Anolis sagrei: one gene and its partner. The protein of the gene in region 1 binds, or shares a complex with, the protein of each later gene. Links are inferred from orthologs where the notes say so. Each region holds a gene or a part of one and is shown on either strand. Other genes may lie near its edges.

What was found.
Region 2: the proteins of serine/threonine-protein kinase STK11-like (region 1) and CAB39 are in contact, whole or in part, in a crystal structure (PDB 2WTK), measured with the Homo sapiens proteins. The link is inferred for Anolis sagrei from reciprocal best matches to the Homo sapiens genes STK11 and CAB39. Residues at the interface, in NP_000446.1 of Homo sapiens: Gln100, Arg103, Arg104, Glu165, His168, Ser169, Gly171, Leu201, His202, Pro203, Phe204, Ala205, Ala206, Asp207, Asp208, Phe234, Arg301, Ser307, Arg310, Lys311, Lys312; in NP_001124321.1 of Homo sapiens: Gln109, Gly111, Thr112, Lys196, Leu197, Leu238, Asp239, Arg240, His241, Phe243, Met246, Ile250, Val280, Ala283, Asn284, Pro285, Glu317, Gln318.

The regions. Positions count from the first base shown.
Region 1 is NC_090035.1:55,403,679-55,414,198, reverse strand, and holds the start of serine/threonine-protein kinase STK11-like, read left to right. Parts: upstream 1-6,277; 5' UTR 6,278-8,882; coding exon 8,883-9,169; intron 9,170-10,520. UniProt on the Homo sapiens protein: Tumor suppressor serine/threonine-protein kinase that controls the activity of AMP-activated protein kinase (AMPK) family members, thereby playing a role in various processes such as cell metabolism, cell polarity, apoptosis and DNA damage response.
Region 2 is NC_090023.1:228,950,683-228,960,936, forward strand, and holds the start of CAB39 (calcium-binding protein 39), read right to left. Parts: upstream 4,006-10,254; 5' UTR 3,797-4,005; intron 1-3,796. UniProt on the Homo sapiens protein: Component of a complex that binds and activates STK11/LKB1. In the complex, required to stabilize the interaction between CAB39/MO25 (CAB39/MO25alpha or CAB39L/MO25beta) and STK11/LKB1.

The DNA.
Region 1 (10,520 bases):
CTGAAGCCACCAACAAGCAGGCTGCACTACCGATGTAGGAAGATGTTCCAACAGTCGCCTGCACTGAGCTGTGCTCTGACACGCATCAGTTCAGAGTCTGCCATCCCATCTGCCTGGCAGATGTGTATCCAGCCAAGAGCCCTTGGCTTAAAAAGAGACTTTATGTGGCTTCGGATTCACAGAGCGACGCTTCCCTGGCTACTCCAGAGTTCTTCCAAATGTTCGACCTAAAAACCAAGACGGTCGACTACACTATGTCAACGTGTGTAGGAAGGAAGAAGTTGCAGGGTAGCTTCCGGTTTTGTTGTTTCCTCTTGCTACCAAAAGGGACAGTTCAAGTTGCCAGACCTCATTGAGTGTTCATCCCTTGGAACAAAAAGCAGATTGTTACCTGAGAAGTTGTGGAGGCCCATCCTCATCTACGAAGGCTGAAGAATGCCATATCAGCTTTTCTGCCAGATGTGGACATTGCCTTTTTGCTTAGTTCGGACTGCCCGAGCTTGTTCTGCGTGAACGACCAAGTTAAGGGACCTCCAGGTGCACCTATTGCACAACTACTGCCGTTGGGCTGGACAGTTATAGGCCCAGTGTGCATAAACAAGATGCACCCTCCATCATCGTTGGACTCCAAGCACACATGCTTAATGGTGGACGTCCCACACTTATGCACAGCTGTCTGAGCCACATCTCAGTCTGCTGCCAAGGAATAGCTCCAGAGCATTCCTCCATCTTTGAGGCTTCTGAGAGAGACAAAGCCCCGGCACTCTCAAAAGATGAACAAAGGTTTTTGGATATTATGGACTCTGAAGTCTCTCGAAGTCCAGAGGGAAATTGGATAGCCCCTCTGCCTTTTAAGTCAAATAGGCCCACTTTGCCAAACAACAGGCACGTGGCAGAGAAAAGACTCTGGTCCCTAAAGAAAAAGAGTGTGATGGTAGCTGAAGTAACAGTCCCAGCCTGGTTACATCATTTTATAATTGGAAAGAAAGGACAGAACATTGGCAGGATTACCCAACAGCTTCCCAAGGTTCACATTGAATTCACTGATGGTGATGAGAAGATCGCATTAGAAGGAGCCACCGAAGAAGTGGAGTTGGCTCAGGCTCAGATACAAGAGAACATCCGGTACTTGCTTAGTCACATGGATTACACTGAAGTGCTCATCGATCAGAGGTTCCACCATCATCTGATAGGGAAAAATGGAGCCAACATCAACCACATCAAGGATCAGCACGAAGTCTCTGTCCGCATCCCACCCATCAACGAGAAGAACAACCTGATCCAGATTGAGGGAGACCCACAAGGGGTCCAGCTGGCTCGCAAGGAGCTGCTGGGAATGACTGCTCACATGGAAAATGAACACATAAAAGACCTGATCATTGGGCAGAAAGGCGAGAAAGTCAAAGAGATCTGTGACAAGTTCCCAGAGGTCATCATTAACTTCCCTGACTCATCTCAAAAGAGCAACATTGTGCAGCTGCGTGGGCCTAAAAACGAGGTGGAAAAGTGTGCCAAGTACCTCCAGAAAGTTATTGCAGAGTTGATTGAAAACAGCTTTTCCATCCCAGTCCCTATCTTCAAGTAGTTCCACAAGAACATTATTGGGAAGGGAGGCACCAACATCAAAAAGATTTGAGAGGAAACCAATACCAAGATTGACCTCCCCATAGAAAACAGCAACTCGGAGGTAATCCTGATAACTGGGAAGAAGGTCAACTGCAAAGGTGCCCAGGACCACATCCTGGCCATCCAGAGGGAGCTGGCTAACATAAAAGAAGTGAACGTCTCCATTCCAACCAAACTGCACAATTCCCTGATTGGGGCCAAGGGTCAGCTGGTGCATTCCATCATGGAGGAGTATGAGGTCAATAAATCCGTGCCGCAGCCTGAGCAGCAATCAGATATTATCGAGATCACGGGCCTGGTCTCAAACGTGGAACGGGCCAGAGCCAGTCTTCTAGGGAGGGTATTTTGAGAGTGGGAGGAAGGTTAGCTAAGGCTAAACTTAAGATATGTGTAAGAAACCCCAATATCATATCCCCCAATAGTCACATTGCATTGTTGCTTGTTCGTTATTACCATGAAAGGACAAAGTCTTGCCCCGCCATGCTTGGCCCATGGGTATCATACTAAAGACTTTTCCTTGCCCTGACGGTAAGGTCAGGAAAGTTCAATTAAAGACTTACAACAAGGACAAAATGTCTGTCCTGGACAGACCAATCAGCGATCTTGTTTTGCTTGTTGAGAGTGTTTAATGTTTATACTGTTTTATCATTGTATATATTTATGTGGTAAATTTCCAGATCCTGGGAAATTTAAGCAGGGACTGTTCAGTCTCCCAGGAGCATGGGTTTTGCATTACCTTTTAGTTGCTGGAAACAGCCTCTCCTTGTGTTTATCCCAGGCTACTGCAGGCTTTGCTAGGCCTAAAAGGTTAGCAGACAGAGGCAGGAAAGCCAGTTTGCAGGCTTTCTGCAATGACTGGCCAGAGTATCTCTTTGGGCCTGCCCCTGCTTCCAGGGTAGAAACAGCCATTTTGGAGGTCTCCCTGCCCCTTCGGTCTTAAGGAAGAATCCATGATGTGCTGTTGGCAGACAGGTACCTCTGAAGATACCATTGTAAAAACAATTGAGACCTGTAGATAGATAGATAGATAGATAGATAGATAGATAGATAGAATGAATAATTGAGTCATAGATTGAAAACAAATGAGTTTGATTGAGTTATTTAGTTAGAGATAGATATTAAAAGAGAACTATTTAGATAGTTATAGAGGATTATGTAGATAGTTATAGAGATACCCTTTTTTGGAGAAAGTTATACCCTTTTTGGAGAAGGATTGCCTCAACTATTGAACCCCAATTGACTGTTTGTTTTGTAATGTTGATAAGCTGAGCCAAGTCTACCATGATTTTGTGAATAAATACCCTGTTTGATGTTTCAAACTTGAAGTGGACTCAGTTATTCAAGAAAACTCAATCTTCTAAAGAAAGACCCCAGCAGTTCACCCAGACCTAGATAGCAGCACATCAAAGTTTTATTTTAAAGTGTCTGGACGTAACGGCACATGCACATTAGTGTAAAGACATGTGAGCGCCTGAGATCTTCCTCTGAGCTGTTTAATTGGGATTATAGTGCTTTTGGTAGTTGGTCCTCATTGTGTTTGTGCAGCCCTCCGTTTTGCCTTCTGGTGGTTCCCTGTCATTGTGGGTAAAGTAGTGTTCGCAAGGCTGTTGTCCCCCTCCCCTGGTGGACCTAGTTTAAATTGTGCCTAATGAAATTTGCGCGTCTGTGAGCAAAAAGGTGTTTTCCTACTTGTGTGAGATGTACCCCATCCCTTGCCAGTAGGCCATCCTCCTGGAAAAGCAGGCCATGGTCGAGGAAGCCAAACCGTTCCTCCTGACACCATTTTCTAAGCCAGTCATTGACCTGTACTATTTTTCTGGCCCTTGTAGGACTATGTCTTACAAATGAGAGGAGGAATGAAAAGACCACCTGTACATTAGATTGTTTTAGCTTTGTTCCAAGAGCTTGAAAATCATTTCTGATCTTTTGAAAAGTATGCCTAGCAGTATCATTGGTTCTTACATGAATCAACATGAGGGGAGGACGGTGATGGGGCTTGAGGAGCCTGGTGAGCCTCTGAGTGATATGGTGTATTTTTGCCCCCGGTAGGCAGCATATTTCTCGAGCCATCCCATCTGGTCTGGAAATGATGGAGTCGCCTACTACCAAGATCTGTTTACTTTCAGGATTGACAGGGTCCCTTTTGTGCAATGTAGTGTGTAGGTCCCCAGAAAAGTGATCCTGTTGATGTGAATTGTGTAGGTGTAAAGTGTTGTTCTCCTCTTCAACATCCCCGGTGCATTCGTCAAGGACAATCCATTGAGATTCATCCAAGAGCCTATTGTTCTCCTGTATGTGTTCCTGTTGCACCTGGTCTATGGCTGGGGATGGTACATCTGCATGATTGTGTGTGAATGTTGTGTTGTCCCAGTCAGGGCTATCCCCTGCACACTGATCAAGGATGAGTTACTGATCAGTATCTAAGCCATTCTGGTCTTCCCCAATATGCTGTGTTTCTTGGTCAAGTGTTAGTTGTGTGAGAATTTGGAATCTATTGTGTAAATGCAGCTGGGCAGAAGTATTCTGAGGAGTCTTCCGGGTCCTATGTTTCTTTCTAAGGGTGACATGCCTCCAAGCTTGAGGGTTGTCCATATCTGAGGTGATCTCCTCTTGAGCCTCCCCATAATGTTGGTGTGCTGTGGGCTGCGTGTCTAGGACAGTGTGGTGTCTAAGACGAGCTCAAGTTCCTGAATGTCCTTAAGGGTCTTAATACGGTCAAGTTGTTGGATCCTCTGTCCCATGTGAGTGATCTGTTTACACTTGGGGCAGATTTATTTATTTATTGTGTCATCAGCAACCATTGTATTACAATTCTAACAGAGCAAAACAAACACAGAGATTAAAAAGAAAAAGAAAAAAAAGAAAGGAAAAAAAACCACACAGATTTTGCAAATTTGGTATTTGGTTAAATGTCCTTTGACCAGTATCTGGCCACTTGGAGTGCCTCTGGGGTTGCCGCAAGAAGGTCCTCCATCGTGCATGTGGCAGGGCTCAGGGTGCATTGCAGCAGGTGGTCAGTGGTTTGTTCTTCTCCACACTCGCATGCCGAGGATTCCACCCTGTAGCCCCATTTCTTAAGATTGGCTCTGCATCTCGTGGTGCCAGAGCGCAACCTGTTCAGCGCCTTCCAAGTCGCCCAGTCTTCTGAGTGCCCAGGGGGGAGTCTCTCATCTGGTATCACCCATGAATTGAGGTGCTGGGTTTGGGCCTGCCACTTTTGGACTCTCGCTTGCTGGGGTGTTCCATCGAGTGTCTCTGTAGATCTAAGAAAACTATTTCTTGATTTAAGTCGTTGACGTGCTGGCTGATACCCAAACAGGGGATGAGCTGGAGATGTCTCTGCCTTGGTCCTTTCACTATTGGCTGCTACTTCCCGGCGGATGTCAGGTGGTGCAATACCGGCTAAGCAGTGTAATTTCTCCAGTGGTGTAGGGCGCAGACACCTTGTGATAATGTGATCATTAAGAGCCACATCTACTGTTTTAGTGTGGTGAGATGTGTTCCACACTGGGCATGCATACTCAGCAGCAGAGTAGCATAGCGCAAGGGCAGATGTCTTCACTGTGTCTGGTTGTGATCCCCAGGTTGTGCCAGTCAGCTTTCGTATGATGTTGTTTCTAGCGCCCACTTTTTGTTTGATGTTCAGGCAGTGCTTCTTGTAGGTCAGAGCACGGTCCAAAGTGACTCCCAGGTATTTGGGTGCGCTGCAATGCTCCAGTGGGATTCCTTCCCAGGTAATCCTCAGAGCTCGGGATGCTTGTCTGTTCTTAAGGTGAAAGGCGCATGTCTGTGTTTTAGATGGATTAGGGATCAGTTGGTTTCCCCTGTAATAGGCAGTAAGAGCACCTAGAGCTTCGGAGAGCTTCTGTTCTACCATCTCAAAGCTCCCTGCTTGAGCAGTAATGGCACGATCATCAGCATAGATGAAACTCTCTGTCCCTTCTGGCAGTGGCTGGTCATTTATGTAGATGTTGAACATGGATGGAGCAAGCACGCTCCCGAGGCAGGCCGTTCTTCTGTTTCTGCCAACCAGAGATGACTTGGGGCAGATGTAATTGAGTAATTGTTGTGTGAAAAAGCTAAACATTCCACAGCTTGTGCATGGGACAGGAAAATTTTGTTTTTGTTCCATCTGCAGGCTGCTAATGACCTCCTCTTGGTCTGTGTTTTATGTTGTTATCTGAAGCTTGCTTCCTCAACCTCTGTGGGAGCACAACCGTTAGGTTGTTAGGAATTGTGGGAGCTGGAGTCCAAAATATCAAGAAGGAACAAAAGCCCATGTTAGCCCAGGCCTGGTATAGAGGGAAAGGGTACAGCTTAAGCAGATCATGCACGCCTTCAACAAACAGTCCTTGGAGGCTTGACAAAGGAGGCTTCCGCGACGACTAGGCCAGAAAGCCTCTCTTTTCCTACGCGTCGCCAAGTTCTCCACCTCGCGCCTTCCTCTCCCCTCTGTCCCCCGCTTCCAATCCCGACCTTTCCTTTTCCCTAAGCAGAGCCAATCCAAAGTCGTGGAGGGGAAGAAAAGGTGGGGCCGACGAGTCAGAGGGGGTGGGAAGGGGAGAAGCAGGAAAGGGGGCGGGGCTCCGCGGCTGAGCCAATGGTGTCGCCCGCCTGCTTTGTCCGGGCCCCACCTTCCCAGGTCGAGCGAGTGCGCAGGCGCCGAAAGGGGAGGCGAGGAAGTAAACAAAATGGCGGCGGCGTGCTAGTTGCGGCGGCAGGAAGGCAAGGGCGAGGTGTTTTTTGGGGGAAATAAAGGGACGCCCTTTTGGGGGGCGGGGGTCTAAAGAGGGCGGGTTGTATTTATCTACCTAATTGGAAGGAGAGCGCTTGAGGGCCTGCTTGCCATTCTCCTTTGCGTGGATTTTGAGGAGAGCGGTGAGGAGAAAGTAGGCCACTCCGGCCCCTCAGCCTCGAGCGAGGCTCCCCTTGGCCGCTCTTGGACTTCGTGGCATCCTGTGTGCGTAGTGGCCTCCAAGGGCTTCCTTTCCTTGGCGAGGAGTGGTTGTTTTCATCCGGCCCCGCTTCCTGCAGGTCTGCAGATTGGCACTTGCTTAGAGGCACCTGAGAGGGTTTCAGTGAGCAGTTTGGGTCGTCTTGTTCTTATTTTTCAAAGGTATAAGAGGAGGCCTTTCACTGGACACCACTTTGGGGCAGAAGAGGAATAGATCCTGAAGCTTTTTAGATACAGTGCGTGCGTGTATGTGTGTGGGTCAATATATATGTGTGTGTATATATATGTGTGTGTGTGTATACACATATATACATACACATACACACATCCAGAGCCTTCTTATTTATAGTATCTATCTATCCCTTCACAAAACTAGATAGAGGCTGTGGGTGTGTTTGTGTTGCCCTAACTAGTGGCCCACCTTCCTGAGGGAAAATTACTTCAGTTGTGTTGGATGCAAATCCAACTCTGGTTTCCTATAGCACAGCAAAGGCCTGTTCTGTTCATTTTGCTCCCTTGGGTTGCTTTTCTCCCAGATTCAGTAGAGAAAGGATTGTGGCCTTCATCACCTTTGCTGCCCTCTGCTTCCCCTTTCAGGATCAGGTTTCCTTTCCTCTTGTGCGCCCCCTTAATACTCCCAGTTGCTCTTGGAAATCACCATGGTGTTTGGAGTGGCCTCATTCATTGTTCCCAGATCGTTGTTGGTCCTTCCTCAGTTGTTGGTGTTTCTGTGTCTCTGTTGTTTGTCCTCTGTTCAGTTATGTTCTTCCCCTAATTTCTGCTGAGTGGCACAGCCTCTTTTGGGATTTAGTCAGCTACATGTTTTCCTCTCATAGCAGACTGTTGTTTGAGAGAAACTCCTTCCCTGAGCGGTACCCTCGGATATTACTGAGTTGAGGCTGTTGTTGAGTTGAGGCATGTCGGGTGGAAATCCCTTCCTGTTGCCATTCTATCTCAAGGAAGGTCCACTCTTTGATATATTTATTTATTGTTTTGTTTAGCTTCTCCAGGTGCCAGAGCTTTTGGCATGCAAAGAAATCCCAAAGTGTAACAACTCCTTTTGCAATTGAAGGTAGGCAAGAAAAGATGGGAAGACAGGATCAGTGTTTGTGCTCTTCCTACCTCTTGATCCCTGACTGTTGAGTTTACCTGTCCAGGTAGGGAGTCCAGTGTTCTCCCTGTTGTTCTTGTCTCCCATTTTTAGTGTTACTTTACCTTTTCTTGCTTAGATTGGAGGGAAAGGGGAAGTGGGCCTTACTGCAAATCAGCCCCTTCTGCAAAATGTTGGGGTTGATGAAGATTGTTCAGAGGCCATTTCCCTGGAGCAGTATAGTGTCTTAATCTGAGAGAATCGGTTGAGTCACTTAAGCTTGAGTTTGCTCTGGCCTTCTCTCCATTTGTGGTGGGAGCTTAATGCTGGGAGATGTGAGTACTTCTTGCCTGCCTTCCTGCCTGCCTAAAAGCTTTGCCATCTGGAGCACTGGGGTGACACATCATGTGTCAGGCTGACCCCAGGCTGTTGAAGGATGCCCCTGGAAGTACTTACTACTAGGCACGGAAGGCCTCAAACTTTTGTTGCTGACCCTGTTGACATCGGCATTGACAATTCCTTTAGAGAGACTTGGTTCCAGTTACCCAACGGCTGAGAGAGAGGGCCCTTCCCAGGAGGCCATTATACCTGTGTGGCGAAATCAGCGGAAGTAGTTGGTTGCGGTCCTTCACATTGACAGAGGAAGCCACTATTCCCTCCTGGCGATGGAATCCCCATACAGGAGCTAATTTGCTGCTTTGATTTTAAATATGGCCAGCATTTGAAGGATGGCATAGGTGTCAAGCAAAGGAGGACTTCAAAAGGTGGGAAAACAGGCTTGCCTGAAGATTTGCAGCACAAAGCAACATCTGAAAGTTAAAGCTAACTCAACGGAACAGGAGGGAAAAAAACTTAATTTCCCCCCCTTTATCCATCTTACATGCACATGTACTTTAAAAGAGGCACTGTGGTATTGGAATAAGTTGCTGGATCTCTGCAGGACCTTGTTGGGCTGTCAGAAGAATTCTCAGAACCTCTTGTGAGTTGTATTTTTCATTTTTAAATTAAGCCATTTGTACAATCTTCTGGACAACTTCTTACTGACTTACCTCTGCTGAATCTGTCTCCTTCGTGTCCTATCATACCCACCCCTCCACTCAAAAGTTGGATATAAAAGGGAGGGACTTGGATACACCAGGAAACTGGATTTATAGTTTTTTGACACACATCTGTTTTACTAGTTTAGAGTTTTCCTTCAAAAAGAAGTCCAAGATGGATCTGGAGCCCCAGCAGCTAGGCATGTTTGTCGAAAGCGAATTGATGTTGGTAGGCATGGACATGTTTATCCATCGAATTGATTCCACAGAAGCGATCTATCAGCCCCGGCGGAAGAGAGCCAAGCTCATTGGCAAATATCTAATGGGGGATTTGCTGGGGGAAGGGTCTTATGGCAAAGTCAAGGAGATGCTGGACTCCGAAACCCTCTGTAGGAGAGCGGTCAAGATCCTGAAGAAGAAGAAACTGCGCCGGATCCCCAGTGGTGAAGCCAATGTTAAAAAGTAGGTATGAGGAGGAGGAGTGGCAGCCCATGCCTACAAAGATTGGTCCACGGGTTTTCCATGGCTTATTGGGTAAAGCTGCTTCCTCCCTTGTGATCATGCAGATGTGTTAGAATAAGCACCTTCCAGCTGTTTGGGCCTCCAACTTCCAGACTTCCTGGCAATTGAACAAGCTGGCAATGGGAGCTTTGGGGAGTTTGAGGCCCAAACAGCTGGAGGCTCGCAAATTGAGGAATATAGTTCTCAGCAATACCAATATGTTAGAAGGATCCCCTTTAGCTGCAGAACTCATATCTGTGGTTTCATTTTGTTGCGGAATATGTTACCCGGAAATTCATTCGAGTGCTTTAGGAGAAGGAAGAGGATGGAGAGACAGCATGTCCGATTTCCAGGCCTTTATTTCTATCTCTGCAGATAGAAATAAAGGCCTGGACAGCGAAAAAAGGGCTGTCACTCTTGAGGTCTAAATTGCTTCAGTATTTATAGCATAAAATCAACTTTTCCACACATGCGCAGAAAGTGTCTGACATTTACACAGTACAATCATTAACAGGTGTTTCCATGTATAGTTGACAAAAACATCTTTATCAGGTCTTGGCAGACACTTTGTGAAACCAAACATCTGCTTGATTATATAATGTATTCCAACCTTCACCTGTTACCCTTAGATGACTCTTATAAGTTCTATTCCTTAAATATCTAATTGAATTATAACTTTTATATGCTTATAATATAATATCTGATCAAGACAATACCCTTTAGTTAATTCAGCCTTTTCACTTCATTATAACTTATTTCTTAATATGAAAATCATGAAGGGAATCACTAGGATAATGCTTTTCTGAAATTGCCTGCTATTTACATTAAGTGGTCAGAAGATGGCGCTCTCTCACCATATGACCTTAGATGTTCTAAGTCTTGGATTGATAATATTGATCTCTTTGGTCTGCCAAATTTCCCTTGTTGATCCTCGTATCTAAGTAAACGTTAGCTAGAGCAAACACTTTGATTGACCAAGGTCCAGTGAAAATCAATACCATCTGTAGTTTTTCACAGGCTTGAAAGTTCTCCCATTAGAGAAATGCCTTTTTCCCTTTCAAAGGATAGGTAAGAACTTAAACCTTCTATTTTATTCTAAATTATTATGATTTCCATTATTGTTATTATATTTTCTCCTAACTGCTCCTACATTCCCCCCCTTTTTTTGTGATGAAGAAGACACTTCTTCGGAGTCACATCTCAAGTGTGATTATATCAACTTGACTCCTTCGGGAGATCACTTCATCTCCTCTAACTCCATGTACATAATACGTTGCAACTGTTTACCATGTTGAACATTGGCAGCAGTAAC
Region 2 (10,254 bases), on another chromosome or scaffold:
TCCAGAACCAGGCCTTCTCATGTATTAAATAAGTGACATATTACATTCATTTAACAATCTGAAGGATCTAGTTTTTGAATAATTGATAAACACAGAACTCGACGAACTATATATAGCACCACAAAACAAATGTCAAGGAAAAGCAGTAGTACGAGTAGTACAATTTGTTATTCTAGCATTACAAACATCTACCATTTCAGAATATAAAAAATAGAAATCCTTCCGTGCTCAAACAAACATTCTATATTAGGTATCTAGACATTTTAAGGAGGGGGGCATTTTTGACATTTCATAGAAACAGGCATAGCCTCATGTCTGTGAGTAAGTCTTAAGAAAACAGCATTTTCATATAACACTTGAATAGCTGATGGGTAAATACAAAGGAGTATATTACACAAGAATGTAATGGTTGTAGGTTCTCCAATCTAAATGTATCTGCTTAACAAATATTTACAGAAACACTACAAATATCATGGATCTAAAAACAACACATCAAAGAACCTTTTGATGAACCCATAAGTGCAGGCATTCAGACACACCCTGAAAAACCACCCCATGGATCGATCTATAGCAATGAGGCACTAGAATAGTAAACTCTGCTTCTTGAATGTTAAATGCAAACACACAATATATTAATGAACTAGAGACAATGATTTTGTTTTAAGCAGTACACAGTTGCTAATTATGATTTCTACCAGAATCAAGACAAAAATAAGACACTTCCATCTATACCTCTGATCATGCTTATCAAGGTAATAATATCACCTCAAACAACAAAGTACTGTTTTATTTGAAATGTTACTATACTTAACTGACTTGTCACACTACCCATTGTTAACTCTAAAACAAACTTCTTCTTCTATAAAGCAAAACTTCAACAATTCTGTTAACAGGCTGGTAACATTTTATGAACACCGACAATCTTGTCATCTTACAATCTTGTCACCTTCAGTAACAACTGTGATGTGGCAAATAGAATAACTAAAAGGTTATGCTTCTGAAGTCTGAATTCTACTTAGGTTTGTGAACTAAATCCAACTCTTGGTTCCAAGCAGAACAGATTTACTGGAACAACATTATTTTAATAGTTATATTCAAGTTTCCTCTTCCTGAACTTTAAATAATTTAGTTTGATGAATTTCAAATCATGTTTACATTATTATGCTTTATTTAGTTATAAAAACCCATTTCCATAGCCACGGGGATCTACTAGAAGCCATGAGAATTTTACTACTAGTGCTTTGGAGTGTCCATTATTTTATCAGAATTTTATAATATGACAATCTAGAACATTCCTGTGTAGTATTAAAACAGTTGGATTCAAAAATGTATAAGCCACTTTGCATTAGTACTCTAGAAACGTATCAGTTTAAAACATCAGCAGCTGGTTTATAAACAATATAAACTTTCTCTTACATTATACGTTATCTTGGAATGAATGCTTCAACAAGCAAATCCTGCATAACATTTTGCATGTGAATTTATTTAGGAATACATTTTCATTAACTGTGTAGGCTTCAGATTTAGAAAACCTAACTAAGGCTTAAAATGAACAACATATATTCTTAATACAGCAGTATTATTCTTCGAGCAATTTCACAAGAATTAAAGAAGTATCTTGTATTGATCATCACATACTATTTTTGCAGAGCACTCAAGTGTCATTTCCCCCTTAAGTTTACAGTGGGATGCTACGAAATAAAACAGGCCAATTAAATAGAAAGGAAACCAACACTGTCCAAAAGATCTTGGGAATTACTTTCACTCTTATGATTTCCTATGATGATGCAATGATTTGGGGGGGGGGGGATGACTGAAAAAGTGTACAAGCCTAAGAATTCATAATACATATGGAAATATCCTAGCAGTTCAGAAGAGTGCAGTGAAATTAACTCAAACTGGGCCTCTTCCTGGACAATGCAGTATTGCAAAAGCAAAGCAAATAGGCTTTCATTTTTCTTTGGTGTTGGCTGTATAAAAGGCCATGTTGAAAAAAAACAGAGGGAAAGAAAGAAAGAAAGAAAGAAAGAAAGAAAGAAAGAAAAGGTTACTAATATTTCCGGTTTGGAGTAATCACCTCACCACCTCCCTTCCTCCTTCAATCCTGACATGTTTTGAGATGTGAGCTCCTTCAGCCAAGAAAGTTTATTTAAAAATGGAGGCACTCACAAAGACAACAACGCTGAGAAGGAGGCACTGGGTGTTCCACGCCACCAAAAGGGACGTCTACACTGTAGAAGATGTTTTGGCCTTCAACTCCCAGGAATCCTAACAGCTGGTAAACTGGCTGGGATTTCTGGGAGTAGTAGCCCAATACACCTAGAGACCCACAGGTCGAGAACTGCTGCTGTAGAAGGAAAACAGCCTGGCATTTTTAAATGCTACTTATAATAATTTATATTTATAATAATAATAACAACAACTTTATCGAAGGCTTTCATGGCTGGAATCACTGGGTTGTTGTAGGTTTTTTCATGCTGTATGGCCATGTTCTAGAGGCATTCTCTCCTGACGTTTTGCCTGCATCTTTGGCAAGCATCCTTAGAGATGGGAGTCCCCGGTGGCGCAGTGGATTAAACTCCTGTGCCGGCAGGACTGAAGACTGACAGGTTGCAGGTTTGAATCCAGGGAGAGGTGGATGAGCTCCCTCTATCAGCTCCAGCTCCTCATACGGGTACATGAGAGAAGCCTTCCACAAGGATGATAAAAACTTCAAATCATCCGGGCGTCCCCTGGGCAACGTCCTTGCAGACAGCCAATTTTCTCACACCAGAAGCAACTTGCAGTTTCTCAAGTTGCTCCTGACACAACAACAAAAAATATCCTCAGAGATTGTGAGGTCTACATAGATGTAGCGAAACGTCAGGAGAGAATGCCTCTAGAACATGGACATATAGCCCGAAAAAACCTACAACAACAACCCAATAACAACTTTATTTTTGTACCACACCTCCATCTCTCCAAAGGGATTCAGGGTGGCTTACATATGGCACAAAGTGCCTAAAACAACACATAAAACAAACACACAATACATTACAAGATAAACCAGTAGTATATAAAACAACAATTTGACGCCCAATAACCTATAGTGTCGACTGTCCTAAAAACATGGTCAACTGTAAACAAGAAGAAGAGAAAGAGATAATGCAAGTTGTAGCTAAGAAGCAAGGGCATAAGATGAAAGTGGAGTACGTTTTACTAATGGCTTCTTATGTTTTTTTATTTGTGTCTTTGATGGTTGACGATTTTGCGTTGTATTTTAACATGTTGGAAGCCACTTGGTGGGAGAAAAGTGGGAAATAAATGAAGATTTATTATGATTATGAATCCCCTCAGTTCCAGTTAGGATGTGGAGAAGGTTAAAGGAAGACCCACAGGCCTGGGCCAACTTGGGCCCTCCAGGCGTTTTGGACTTCAACTCCCACAATTCCTAACAGCCTACCGGCTGTTAGGAATTGTGGGAGTTGAAGTCCAAAACGCCTGGAGGGCCCAAGTTGGCCCAGGCCTGGTCTCTAGCGTTCATTTTCCAAACGGCGTTATCTGGCAGCGTCGGCGGCGAGACAAGGTTACCTAATGGAAGGGGAGAGGGAGGAGGGGTGACGACACCGAACGCGCGTCAAGTTCCCGTGAGGACACACCCTGTGCTTTCCCTCAGACAAGGGGCCTCCTCCGCCGCCGCCGCCGCTACTGTCCTCGAAAGGAGGAAGAGGCGCTCCCTTTCCTTCCGAGGCCAGACTAGGCCTCGACGAGCCCTCAGAGCGAACGCCACCCACAAGGCCCGAAGCCAGGACGGTACCTTCGCTGGTGGCGAGGAGACGTCCAAAGGCGCCCTCTCCCTTCTGCCTTCTCTTCCTCCTCCTCCTCGTCTCCTCGTCGTCGTCGTCGTCTGCGGGCCTTCTCGCGACGCCTCGGCCGCCCTCCTCCTCCTCCTCCTCCTCTTCTCCTGCCGGGCTGCTGGTGTTTGCTGCCTGCCTGCTTGCCTAGCCCCTCCCTCCCCCGCCCCGCGCGCCTCCGCTCTTCCCTTCCCTTCCCTTCCCGGCGGCGGATACCAGCGGATGAGACAGCGGACGACGAGAGGCGGCTAAGCAAGAGGGAGCCCGCCAGCGCATTCCGCGCGCTCTCTGCCGCCCCCTGCGGCCGGGAGGGAGAAGTGCCGCCAGCGTTTCCCACGCTGAACTGCATTCCATGGTCATTCGAGACCAGGCGTGGTGTTTCAGATCTGAAGGTGTTTGAGATCTAGGAGGGAGGTGCTAGGCCTGTAGCTGGAGGGGAGGGGGGGTGTTGGTGTGTTAGGGGTTCACCCCCCCCCCCAATTTTTCAGGTTAAAAAAAAATGGTTTACTCATGAATTTTAACTGGTTAACCCAATCCCCATGCTAAGTCTATTAGACACAAAAAATTAAGACTCCCTCCAGAACTGTCAGCACTATTATTATTAATATTATTATTAACTTTATTTGTACCCCGCTAGCATCTCCCGAAGGACTCGATGCGGCTTACAAAGGCCAAGGCCTCAAAACACAACACAACAATATAACACCAAAAGCAAAATTAGAAACAGTAAAGCAATATTGACGACATGCAATAAACAGTACATCAAGACACAATACAAACTGGGCCGGGCCAGAGTAATGGGTACAGGATTAAAAGTGCTGATGTGGCAGGTGGTATACGAGGATTATAGGGCAAGTGCAGTGTGTGGTGTGCAATAATCTTAGTTCTACTAAAAGTGCTTTGAGGACTTGTTATTGGAGATTCCTATTCTGGAAAGGCACATCGGAACAGCCAGGTCTTCAAGTTCTTTCTAAAGACTGCCAATGTAGGGGCCTGTCTAAGATCTTTTGGGAGGGTGTTCCAGAGTTGGGGGGGCCACCACAGACAAGGCCCTGTCTCGTGTCCCCACCAGCCACGCTTGTGACGCAGGCGGAATCACGAGCAGGGCCTCACCAGATGACCGAAGTGAACGTGTGGGTTCGTAGATGGAGATGCGGTCATGCAGATAGGATGGTCCCAAACCATTCAGGGCTTTGTAGGTAAGCACCTGCACCTTGAATTGGGCTCGGAAAATAAATGGCAGCCAGTGGAGCTCCTTGAACAGGAGGGTTGACCTCTCTCTGTAAGGACATAATTGACAATTTATTCCCACTGTCATTGTGCTGGTACAGCTATACCAGAAGCTCCAATTTTGTTTGCTTTGCATTGAATGTTTGTTGCAGTCCTAAGTTTCAGGGACTCTGCAGATAGGTGGCTTCTTTTGGCTGCAATCATAGGGCAAGCCACCTGTCAATTATCGTTAGGTTCCCTGGTCCCGCCCCCTTTGGGTTTTTGGAGGGAATAGGAGCATTTTTGAGTCAGTCCACACAGAGAAGCCTTTCACACAGGACATAAAACGAAAAGCTCCTGTAGAAAGCTTCGTCTTCTACGGCTTGGCCGGGGAGATACAGCCCACAGCTTGGCTGAGGATTTTGCAGCCTTACAGCTCCTTTGCTGAGAGACTTCAGCCAGCCGTCACCGAAACCTGAACTCCTTTCCCCTGGAAGTCTACAAAGCTCTGCTTGGTAAGGGTCACTCACGGAAGCCAGACGCAGTTGGTACCGGGTGCAGGGGCTCCACGCCAACAGAGGCAAAGACAGACTGCCCAGATTAGAAGTTAAGGATTTCCCCATTAGTTAATTACAGTTAAGAAGATAGTGCCTGTTCCCAGTGAACAAGATTGCAAGAGCCAATAGACTGTTAAGAAAGCTTGAAAGTACCTGTTTGTTTTCATCAATAAAGAACTTTGTTGGATTTACTTTAAGCAATCTAAAGACTCTGTTTGGGGGAATCTAAGGGCTTTTAATCTGTGGCAGCCCCCGCATCCCGTTGGGCACACAGAATTTATGTCCTGTCTACAGTCTAATGCACAGGCCCAGCGTGTGACAGCACAGTCATTACTTGCAGTGATAGCCGATGTAGCAAAGCAACCAAGTTTGGGGGGGGGGGGGTGTTGAATGCTCTCATTAAGGAGGCCAGACTTGGTGGAGGTGGTGGACAGGGGCGGAGCTGCAGGCTATTAAAGGCTGCTCTGTCCCCTGCTGTGCTTTTTGCTTCAGCGTGAGCTAGGAGGCAGGTTTCAACCCCCCACACACACCAAAATTTAACCCCCCCTGAAATTTTCAACCCCCCCCCCCCAATTTTCAAACCCCTCCCCATTTTTTTCTGGCTACGGCCTTGGGAGGTGCTGTGGTTTTGTGTGCTTTTATGGTTTTAACGTGAATTGTTTTAAAAAACGGATGATGTTTAATACCGTCTTAATATTTGTATATGTGTATATATTAAATTGCATTGTAATGCAATAGATAATCTATCTATATAAATAAAAATGTAATGTTTGTTTGTGGGATTAACATAACTCAAAAACCACAGGACGAATTGACACCAAATTTGGACAACGTACACCTAACAACCCAATGTATGTCCTTCACTCAAAAAACTGATTTCGTCATTTGGGAGTTGTAGTTGCTGGGATTTATAGTTCACCTATAAATCCCAAAGAGCATTCTGAACCCCACCAACGATGGAATTGAGCCAAACTTGGCACACAGTTCTCCCATGACCAACAGAAAATACTGGAAGGGTTTGGTGGGCATTGACCTTGAGTTTTGGAGTTGTAGTTCACCTACATCCAGAAAGCACCGTGGACTCAAACAATGATGGATCTGGACCACGTTTGGCATGAATATTCCATATGCCCAAATACGAACACAGATGGAGTTTGGGGAAAATAGACCTTGACATTTGGGAGTTATAGTTACTGGGATTTATAAATCACCTATAATCAAAGAGCATTCTGAACCCCACCACTGACAGAATTGGGGCAAATTTCCCACACAGAATCCCCATACTTAAGGCCATCCAGTCCAACTCCCTTCACCAGGACAAGAAAACGTAATCAAAGCCCTCCTGACAAAGAACCATCCAGCCATAGGTATAGTTAGATATATACGATTCACACACACACGTAGTATCATAGATTTGAAAGGGACCCCTAAAGAAGGACAATTATATGTTGCCTGTTCCAGAGTAGGCTGGCAGTCTTTGCTTCTTCCAGCATGCTGACATTTGTCTGCCTGTCTTCCCAAGAGATTTCCAGAATTTTTCGGAGGCAACGCTGATGGAATCATTCTAGAAGTTGCATGTGACGTCTTCCACTGTTCCACCAGGGGCTCCATTTAGCTGGATTTACACTTATTTCTCATGCCAATAAGGTAGTGGTTCCCAACCTTTTTTTGACCAGGGACCACTTTGAAAAGGGAACACTCTCCAACATTAGTACCAAAAGGGCTACAAAACAGTTTTTGGTCAACTTTAGATTCGTTTTGGGATTCTGATTCAGATGATTTTCGTCCTCGTTGCCCACTGGTGGTCCACGGCCCACAGGTTAAGAACCACTGCAGTAAGGCAGGCATGTAGCCGGGGGGGGGGGGGGGGCTTGAGGGGCTTCATGGTGGTTTGCAAAAAGGTGGTGCATTATTTAAACTGCTATGTTTATTCATATCATGATCTGATCACTATACTCAATATATCCCATATGCATGGGGGTATTGGGGTAACGATACTAAAGGTTTGCTAAAGTAGACCCTCTTTCACTCAGACTCAGCCCCCCCCCCCGAAACAAACTCAGCCCCCCCCCCCCCCGAATTGAAGTCCTGGCTACAGGCCTGCAGTAAGGTAATGCTCAAGATCCTGCAAGGTAGACTCAAGATCCTGCAAGGTAGACTCTCCAATGCATGGAGAGAGAAAGTTGCCAGATGTAAAAACTAGATTTAGAAAAGGCAGAGGAACGAGAGACCAAATGGCAAATATCCGCTGGATAATGGAGAAAGGCAGGGAGTTTCAGAGAAGCATCTATTGCTGTTTTATTTACTATTGTAAATCCTTGGACCGTGTGGATCATAATAAGTTCTTGGTGGTATGAGAATACCAAGCTACCCTGTCTGTCTCCTGAGGAATCTGTATAACGATCAAGTAGCAACATTAAGAACATACCACAGAACAACAGACTTGTTCAAGATTGGGAAAGGAGTATGGCAGGGCCATATTCCAGGAAATAATACCCAACTGCTCACTGGAGGGAAGGATTTTAGAGGTAAAAATGAAGTACGTTGGTCACAAAATAAGACAGGAAAGGTTGGAGAAGATAAGGATGCTGGAGGAAATGGAAGGAAAGGGGAAGAGGGGCCGAACAAGGGCAAGATGAATGGATGGTATCTTGGAAGTGGCTGGCTTGATCTTGAAGGAGCTGGGGGTGGCGATGGCTGACAGGGAGCTCTGGCATGGGCTGGTCCGTGAGGTCAAGAAGAGTCGGAAGCAACAACAAAAACACACTTAAGAAATGTACCTGTTCCAACTTACATACAAATTCAACTTCAGAGCAAACCTATAGAACCTATCTTGTTTGTAACTTGGGGACTGCCCGTATATGGTCATTATAGACCCATATAATTCAGTTCAAATCTCATAGGGGTCTACACTGGCCATATCATACTGTTCAAACTGCATTCTATGGCAGTGTAGATCCAGCCTAAGGGTGCCTCTACTATAGAACGAATGCAGTTTGACATACCTGAACTGCCACAGCTCAGTGCTATGGAAACATGGGAGTTTAGTTTTGCAAAGATCTTGAGCCTTCTCTGTCAAAGAGTGTTGGCCATTAGCATTAAGTCACAGCCGTTGAAGTGGTGTCGAACTGCGTTCAATCTACAGTGTAGATGTACCCTTAGAGGGATCCGCGAATTGCACCAGATAACACCACGGGTGCACCTCTACATTGTAGAATGAGAATGTGGATTGCGATCTTTTACGTGCTAATCTGGAAATAAACACCATTGAATTCAATGGTTCCTATCATTCCAAGTAGACTGATTTGAAGTAGATTGCAGTTTTCACTGAAATAAAACGTTACGTAAAAATGCTTCATTTTGTTTGGATCATGCCCATTGTTTTTACCGATCCCTTTACAAGAAGAAAAGGTAGTTGGATAATTCACTTTCCAAAACAGACTGATAACAACGTTTTCACCTCTGTGAGGGCGTTCCTCTGCAGGTGTGTTTCACTCTCCTGGGACTCAGGCTGTTGTTTTCAATCTTTCTCCACTGTATTTGTGAGAGGGAGGCCAACGCTTTCAAAGGCAACATTGCAAGGGTGTGTATGCATGATTTAAAACACTATTAGGTTGTCATTATGGTAAAACGTTCAAGTTTAAACAAATACTGTATCTGGAGTTGAATGGGAAGTATATAGTAAAGTCAAGAAGAAACTATGATTAATTTATTTTCAAACGGTAACTTTCAAACTTAAAGCTAGGTTTTCTTCCCTCATTATTTTTCAGAAAGTCAAACAAATTGCATTTGATGGAAAACTTTCTGCTAGTTGTACAGGTCTCCAAAATCTGAAGGGTCATGAGAACAACCTTTCTCTTTTACTTGGATGTAGATATTCCCAGAATATATGCTTCCATACGTACCCCATATACATTCCTGAACTTACAGTGGAAACCAATAACCGTGGATAATAGCAAACCCTACTGAAATGAATATTTTTCAGATGTTAATGTAGAGTCACCCTGGAGGACCTCAAAAACCTTTTGACAGTTATCTTCTAAAAGTTTGCTAGGTCTTCCAATGTGACTCTGTGGTAACTTCAGGCAGAAATATACCATCAAATCACATGGAGGATGTTGAAAATTTGACATATTTCTCTGCTCAGAAAAACCGCTTGTATTTCTGTGCTTAATATCTTGAATCTTATAATTACTGCTACTTTCTCCCCCTTTCAGGCACAAAATGAATAAAAATTACTAATATTAAATATCACAAAACTCTACTTTGTAAAGTTTACTCAGCAAACTGTCATGTCATCTACTGCCATAGGAATCACAAAACCATTCTGATGCATTAGGAAAAGACCTATCAACCCCCGCCCCCCAGGAGTCACACTGAGTTGCAGAACCCATAAGAACTGGTGTTCTAGTGTAGACACAGATAGCATCTCCTGCACAGTTGTAAACACTGTGCTCAAATATGTAGCTTGTTTTTTTATTATTTCCAGAGAAAATAATTGAATCAGACACAAAAAAAAAAAAAACCCCTCTCCCAAATGTTTTGATTCATGCCATTGGGAGAATTTTCTTGGCCTAGCCAATGTGACGTATTGGGCTGCAGGGGAATGTCCCGTGTTGTTTTTCAGTAAACTGTAATGCACCCAAACAGAAGTA